Macaca fascicularis: one gene and its partner. The protein of the gene in region 1 purifies or fractionates together with the protein of each later gene. This does not show direct contact. Links are inferred from orthologs where the notes say so. Each region holds a gene or a part of one and is shown on either strand. Other genes may lie near its edges.

Region 1 (4,265 bases):
TGTTCTCAGAATTTGAGTTTCAAAAATGAATGGCCTTAAAATAACTAAATTTGGGGAAGAATATAATGGTTTGAAAATAAATAATGTAAGTTTATTACATAGTGAAACTTAATGCAACAAGAGGACTAAACTAAACTTGTATTAGCTGCTAACAGTCAAGTTTAATCTGGGCAAATATTCACATTATTCAACATTCTCTTCAAATTCATTTCCTTTATTTAGCATTATCTTCATATTTATTGTTCTAACCGCCAAGAAAATTCTTATAACTCTACATCTTGACAATTTCTTTCTTTCTTTTTCTTTTTTGAGACAAGGTCTGCTCTGTCACCCAGGCTGGAGTGCAGTGGCGCGATCCCGGATCACTGCAACCTCTGCCTCCCGGGTTCAAGTGATTCTCTTGCCTCAGCCTCCCAAGTAGCTGGGAGTACAGGCGCATCGCCACGCCCGGCTAACTTTTGTATTTTTAGTAGAGACGAGGTTTCACCATGTTGGCCAGGATGGTCTTGAACTCCTGAGCACAAGTGATGCGCCCGCCTTGGCCTCCCAAAGTGTTGGGATTACAGGCATGAGCCACCGCGCCCGGCCCATCTTGACAATTTCTGACAAAAACAGGTAAACTCATGTAGCAGCTGTATATTGTTATGTGAAAGGTATCTATACATGGAATTTAAGGTTAAAAGTATACCCACAATATGGATGCATGCAGTGGTCAAATTACAATGGGATGAGGACTACTGGGATCAGGTTAGGGGAGAGGACCAAAGAGGGAACCAAGCACACTTTTCTTGAGTATTCTTCTTGGCAGCATAATTTGTGCAGGCTTGCCAGGTTACCCAATGGGACAGCTGCAAGGACCCAGTGCAACTGAATTTGGTGCACCGAGAGATCTCACTGCATTAATTATTTTCTCGGTAATTAGATGTAATTATTGTGAAATGTAGCGAGGAGCTTGTCTACAATAAAAATCAAACAAGAATTTCCAGAAGTATCCCTAGTACTGCGGCCTACACATGCCAAATGGCTGGGGGAAAAACATAACCGATAATTATAAACAGAACTAGAGAGGGAAGCGTGGGCAGTTAGAAAGTAATACTTCAAACGGATTCACACGATGTTTGGATGTATCGTTGGGAAAGCCAAAGAAATGAGTCAAATTGGATCAGGGCAAACCGTATCGAGGGCAAGCGAGGGGCGGAGCACTGGGCCAGCTCGGAGGGACTCGCCCTTCCCCAGGCTAGAGCGGCTCCGGCCTCGCCCCCTCGCTCTAGCCGAACCTCCTCCTTTTCCCGGTCACGGGGCTCTGGGGTCAGCCCGGCCTTCGTCCCCAGCCCCGCCCACCCGCCGCGGCACCAGCCCCGCCCGCCAGCCCAGGCCGCGGCAGGCTCCGCCCCCCGCCGCGGCGCCCGGCTCCGCCCACCTTCTCTGGGCTGCTGCCGGAGGCAGGCGACTGGCGGCCGGGGGCGGGGCGGTAGGAGCAGCGCTCCGAAGCGGGAGGGAGATCCGCCGCGGAGTTACGGGAAAGTTGGTCCGAGTTCCCAGAGTTTCCCTCTGTGGTTCCTTAGGCTCGGCCAGCCGGTGCCCGGTCTCCTTTCCTCCTTTCGGCCTTCGCAGTCCACCAGGTCCCTCTCTCTGCCCCCGGCCGCCATGGAGCAGCCGCCGGCGCCTAAGAGGTAACGAATCGGGGAGCGGGAAGAAGGAGGGAAGCGGCGCCGGCGGCCGCGGGGCGGGGGTGGCTAGGCCAGGCCCTGCTGCGACCCTCTCCCTGCCCGCCGGGCCCTGAGCCGGGCGCGCCGAGGTCGGGAGGCGGGTCCGAGTGTCCCGCCGAGTCCGTCTACGGGGCGAGGGGGCCTGAGGGGAGTGGGAGCCGGAGCCTCCCCTGCGGCCGGCGGGCCTGGCGCGTGGAAAGTCGGGTGGGCAGCGCCGGGCTCCCTGCGGCCTGACCTCCCGGGGCGGGTGGGGTGATCCCTCGTAGCAAGTTCACAAAGTCTGGGAGACTTAAAACCAGGGAATTATTGGTCTTCTTACAACCACGTAGACTTTCTTGTCAAATGTTCTGCATAATACTGCCTTTTGTTTTTTTTGAGAAGGTGGTTTGCTTACGGCTTAAGGAATTAAATATTAATAGCTACACAGTCTGTAAAACATTGTGGATGTGCTGCTCTGACAGGTGTTACTCCGCCTAACCCCTCAAGTTCAAAAGTATTTATGGATTCAAGACAGTGGGAAGTTTAAATTAGAACCCCCTCCCCCAATATAGATTTGCGTGTAAAAATAGTGCTGCTTTGGTATGGTATTTACTGTTATTAATGGTTTATATTTAATCTTTGATACCTGTGTTGGAAATGTGTGCATACAAGAGTGGGATGTGTTTGAGCTAATATTTGCGATGATGTTAGGAAGCCAAATCTGGGTTGTCCATTGACAGAAGTTCATAATATGCATTCCTCTCTCCCCAAGAATGAGTTAACGAATTGTCTGATGTTGCTAAAACATTTACTCAGTCTTTCATTTTTAAGTTTTAAAATAAGGATAGTAATCTCTCAGATAGTGCTGTTGTGAAGATTAAAGAGATCGTTTGCTTTGACAGCTGGAGATCTTTAGATGAAAGGTGTGTTCAAGAACGTAGGATAATTGAAAAGGTAGGAACTTTGGGGGCTATTGTGAATTGTATGACTAGACAAGTGAACCTTGAGGCCTGGAAGCCATCTGTTCAGGTGAAAAAAGGGGGGAGTCGTGAAGGAGTTTCCAAAAGGGACCTGCTGTCAGAGCCCTTGAGTAAGTCAACTGATAGATTATTTTCTAGCATTTCGTAAGTTACCTGCATTCGACTCACTGGGCACCGTTTTAATACAATATAAGAGAATTGGGCACTTTTTTCTTTTCTGGAAGAACTGGAAGGAGCACTTCTGAGAAAACACAATAGGCCGTTGGAGCAACTGAATTGAAGTGCAGCTCTCTATTGATTAGCTGTACTGTAAGTTATCAGAGTTTCATTATAGGTGTAAGAGAATCCTTGCCCTTGTAGAGACATTAGAGAACCTGGAGGAGTCAGGGGCAGGTGTAGGCGGTAATTCTGTGGTGATTTATACTTTTCAAAGTGGTGGTTGCACATTTAACATACTTATTTTTAGCTTATTCAGAGAGTCTTATTTTGAAGTAGTGAACAAAAATGCCACAAAGGCATTTTGAAAAGGCAAAAGGTATGTGACAGCAATCCCTTATATTTGAATGTCTCAACATTTTAAGAATTTTCATATTCATAATATTTAATCCTCACAGCAACCCTATGTAGTAGGTTGGATTATAGGCATTAATCCTAATTTATAGATGAGGATGTTGAGGGAGTTTGCCACATGGAAGGCTATGACAGGAATTACTGGCAGTTTTGTCCCTATTGATTATTATCTCCTAATAATGAAATATAGCTACTCGTTTTGAGGTCATCCTGTTTGCCAGGAAATTTAAATATACATTATTTAAATCCTAAGAAATAGTAATCCTGGCACTGCTACTTATTATGCTAGTTCTAAGTTTAATTTTTCCATCTGTGGAAATGTATTGTGAGGATTAAATGAGGTGATATGTAAAGCACTTGGGACAGAGTAAGACCCTGTCTCAAAAAAAAAAACAAAAACAAAACAAAAACAACAAAAGATAATGGGGACTAATTTAATAAATATTTATGTATCACAACTGAGCTTAAGAAATAAAATTTGACCAATATATTCGAAGCCCCTATGTGTTCAACAGTGTTAGTTGTTAACTTATGTTTTCTTTATTATATGAGGCTCAAAGAGGCTAAATAACTTGATCAAGTAGAGAAGGTGCCAGAATTCTGCATCTGATTGGCTACAAAGGCTGTGCACCCTCTCATTGTATACAGTGATGGCTCTTTTCGAAACTGTCTTTCTTATTCCATGATGTAGTGGTCCTCTTTTTTCTGTAATCTCCTGGTCTCTGTTGCTTATTCTGCTCATAATGCCTATAAAAGTGCCATTTTGCTTTTCTGCCTTGAATAACACTTCCTTAGTGCTGACTTTTACATGGCCTTATCGATGTTGTTGATGTTCGGGTATGACTAGAAGCTGCTGCTCAGTTGGCATTTTTCATTTTTTAAGGTAGGTCTTACTCTTTCATTAACCCATCTAGTTTGTCACTACAGCCTATCAAATTTTCTATTGAAAAGTTGGTGGATTAATTTTTTCTCTTTTCTTTCTCAAGAGTACTACCCCATAAAACCCATTCCATGGTTTTATGACCCT
Region 2 (3,970 bases), on another chromosome or scaffold:
GTTTCTCTTTAGAGAGTAAATCAGCTCCAAAAATTTGTTGTGGCATATAAAAAGCAAGCATCAGGCTGTTTAAGCGACTTAACTCCTAAATGAATATATGAATAAGTTTATTTCTTTTGACATAAACAGAAGGCACAAAGACCAACTGTTAGACATAGTCTCAGGAGTGATGATGGGAACCTCAGTGCGAGCTGCGTAGTAGACAACTAGGCATTGATGTCTGCTGAAATGCTGAAAGGGATTCAATAATGTTAGAAGTTCTAGAGAATTGTTCAATAAATGGTTAAAGATCAAAATAGGACCCTGGGGGAAAATGTTCTTTTGCACTTTTTTTTTTTTTTAAATACAGTCTCGCTCTGTCACCCAGGCTGGAGTGCAGTAGTGCAATCATAGCTCACTGCAGCTTCATCTGGATTCTAGCAGTCCTCCCACCTCAGCCTCCTGAGTAGCTGGGACTATAGGTACATGCCACCACACCCAGCTTTTTTGTTTTGTTTTTTTGTTTGTTTGTTTTTGTAGAGACAGCACTTTGTTGCCTAGGCTGGTCTTGAGCTCCTGGGCTCAAGCAGTTCTCCCATCTCAGCCTCCCAAAGTGCTGGGATTACAGGTGTGAGCCCCTGTGCCTGGCACTTTTACACATTTTTTGACTCATAAGAACTAATTTTTTTTTCTGGGATAAATTCCTGCCAAAGTTTAAAATAGGTTTCATTTATCCAGTAAAAATGCACAAAACAAATGGGATCAAGGCTACGGCTTTGGGAGATTGCTTGCCCATCACCACTAAGTCCTGCAACTTACCACTGATAATTCTGTTGGAAATTGAGTTAGTTGATACTGGGTTTTTTTTTTTTTCACTCCTCTATGAAAATAATTGTGTTTTTATGAACGAGGTCAGGAGGTCCATGCTTGAAAATTACCAAGTGTTGCATTAGGTTAGAGCTTCTTTTAAAAAAGCTTAAAACTCTTTCTTTAGAAAGAACATCTATTAATACAGTTTCTAGTTATGAGGGCCAAGGCCTAAAGGACAAGCCAAAAGAATGACAGAGGAAGGGGATTTAGGGCTAACAGGTGGTCCCCAGACATATTGGCTGAAAGGCAGTTCACAGCTAAAGTGTCATATGTGGGTGTTAACTATGCTCCTCATCCATGCTCTCTGTAGCGAGTCGTTCTGGAACTCTCCTGGTTCTCACTATGGCCATAAGAAGTGACTTTCATGAGACCTTCAGAAGAATAGCGCGGCTCTTTTACTGGTTCCCCAAATCACTGACCTGCTCAAAGAATCAGAAATCCAAGCTGCCCTGGAGCCAAGGTGGGGGTAAGTCACCTCAGGCTAATGCCTTATTTCAAACCCATGTTTTTCTGTTACGTTTTTAAATGGAGCCTCCCTCAAGTGGGCAGGGAGGCGTGGGAAAAAAAAGTCTTGAAGCCTTTAAAAGGTATTTTCCCACTTGGTCATCTGGGGGGAAAATTGAGAGAAAATAAAGTTAAGCATTTTGAGGCTGAAGTATTAGAAGCCATGAACACTGTTACAATTCAATTGTATGCTTTTTAGGCATTTCGATTCCGAAAAGTTGACTAGAGAGAGATGAAGAATGTTTAGTATTTAAAAACAACAAAAACAGCTCTTATTCTCAGGGACTCTTAACTTGTCCTAGTACTAAAACATCTTAGAATAAAACAGAACACAAAAAATAAGTCACAATGAGTTCCCCTCCTTTCCATAGGAAACTAAAAAGGTCAGTGGGCCTTAAATCTCTTTTATTTGCGTCAGTTTATGCATCACATTTTAGTCAGGTATTTCTTGATGTGAGAATTTAAAGCACCTTATATTTGCTACCACATAAAGCCCTGCTTTTTCTGTCCAGTCCTGCCTGACTGGAATATGCAAGGGTCAGAGGAGAGGGGGTTAAAGGGAGTAGATGACCCCTCCAAGTCTGGTATCTGCAGTTCCCGCAGGAGCCCAGCTTTCGCCTTCATACTCTGCAGCACTGGTTGTACTACTTACACTACTTAAGCCAATTCTCTCACTTCATAATGTTTCATCTTGCAACTGAATCAAAATTCTAATTATGTTTCTTTCACACCCGTATAGCTCAGCATTTTATGTAAGTGCTTAACAATTACATCAATTGTATTATGTGTTTGATACATTATCACACATAATCTGATGATGTGCCAGATTATCCAGTGCCAGATCCTCCTTTAAAAACAGAAGTGAAGACTAGGCCCCGTGGCTCACGCCTGTAATCTCAGCACTTTGGGAGGCCAAGGCGGGTATATTACCTGAGATGAGGAGTTCAAGACCAGCCTGGCTAACATGGTGAAAACCAGTCTGTACTAAAAACACAAAAAAATTAGCTGGGCATGGTGGCTGGTGCCTGTAATCCCAGCTACTCAGGAGACTGAGGCAGGAGAATCACTTGAACCTGGGAGGCGGAGGTTGCAGTGAGCCAAGATCATGCCCTTGTACTCCAGCCTGGGCAACAAGAGCTAAACTTCGTCTCAAAAAAAAAAAAAAAAAAAAAAAAAACACAGAAGTGATTATGATCTATAATCACCAAGGCGTGATTAAGAAATTTATTTAAACGCATGCAGGCCAGGCACAGTGGCTCATGCCTGTAATCCCAGCACTTTGGGAGGCCAAGGCAGGTGGATCACCTGAGGTCGGGAGTTCCAGACAAGCCTGACCAACATGGAGAAACCCATCTCTACTAAAAATACAAAATTAGCTGGGTGTGGTGGTGCACACCTGTAATCCCAGCTACTTGGGAGGCTGAGGCAGGAGAATTGCTTGAAAACCCAGGAGGCGGAGGTTGCGGTGAGCCGAGATTGCGCCATTGCACTCCAGCCTAGGCAACAAGAGTGAACCTCCGTCTCAAAAAAAAAAAAACATGCAATTCATTTAAAAAAGAAATAAGAAATTTATAAAATATAATGCCTAGGACATTTCAATCATCCATTTTTTCTTTAATTTTTTTTCATTCTTTCTCACTGTCAAAATAGGGATAATATCAAGTCTCTGTTTATATGTACCATTCTTCAGATATGGATTAGCACAATTTGGGATGTTAGAGCCCCAAGAGAACTTAAGAAAAATCATCTTCACCAATTGCTTCATTTTAAAGATAAGCAAAAAGGCTGGGGGCGGTGGCTCAGGCGTGTAATCCCAGCACTTTGGGAGGCCAAGGTGGGTGGATCATTTGAGGTCAGGAGTTCGAGATCAGCCGGGCCAACATGGTGAAACCCCGTCTCCACTAAAAATACAAAAATTAGCCGGGTGTGGTGGTGGGTGCCTATAATCCCAGCTACTTGGGAGGCTGAGCCAGAAGAATCACTTGAGCCCAGGAGGTAGAGGTTGCAATGAGCTGAGATGGCGCCACTGCACCCCAGCCTGGGCAACAGAGCAAGACTCAGTCTCAAAAAATAAAAATAAGATGAGCAAACTACCTCCAGAAGGTTAGATACCTTAACCTCCCAAAACTATTACATAGGCACAACCAGAGCTTTATCCCAGATTATCTAATTCTTGGTGTGCTGCTCTTTTTATCACACCACAGAGCAATGGTGAGTAAGTAACAGAATATGAACATACGAATCCTCACTGAATATTTTACTTAAAGCTTTCATCAGTAGAAAATCTATACTTAGAAAGTTTGATTATCTATTTTTCCAAAGTAAAGCTTGTTAGTTTTCTTATTACTGTGGAGATTGATAGCCTGATTCCAACAATCTTTTCACTTATACACAATATTATGAAAGAAAGTTTTTTTGTTGAGGCCAAGCGCAGTGGCTCATGCCTGTGATCCTAGAACTTTGTGAGGCCGAGGCAGGCAGATCACTTGAGGTCAGGAGTTTAAGACCAGCCTGGCCACCATGGTGAAACCCCATGTCTACTAAAAATACAAAAATTAGCCAGGCATGGTGGCAGCCACCTGTAATCCTAGCTACTCGGGAGACTGAGGCAGAAGAA

The links. Proteins that work in one complex are often made in the same cells at the same time.
Region 2: the proteins of STK3 (region 1) and RASSF3 purify together in Homo sapiens (affinity purification with mass spectrometry; 4 studies listed by BioGRID and IntAct, with this or other methods). This does not show direct contact. The link is inferred for Macaca fascicularis from reciprocal best matches to the Homo sapiens genes STK3 and RASSF3.

What each region holds. Positions count from the first base shown.
Region 1 is NC_088382.1:108,435,584-108,439,848, reverse strand, and holds the start of STK3 (serine/threonine-protein kinase 3), read left to right. Parts: upstream 1-1,465; 5' UTR 1,466-1,647; coding exon 1,648-1,673; intron 1,674-4,265. UniProt on the Homo sapiens protein: Stress-activated, pro-apoptotic kinase which, following caspase-cleavage, enters the nucleus and induces chromatin condensation followed by internucleosomal DNA fragmentation.
Region 2 is NC_088385.1:71,262,137-71,266,106, forward strand, and holds the start of RASSF3 (ras association domain-containing protein 3), read left to right. Parts: upstream 1-1,170; 5' UTR 1,171-1,191; coding exon 1,192-1,315; intron 1,316-3,970.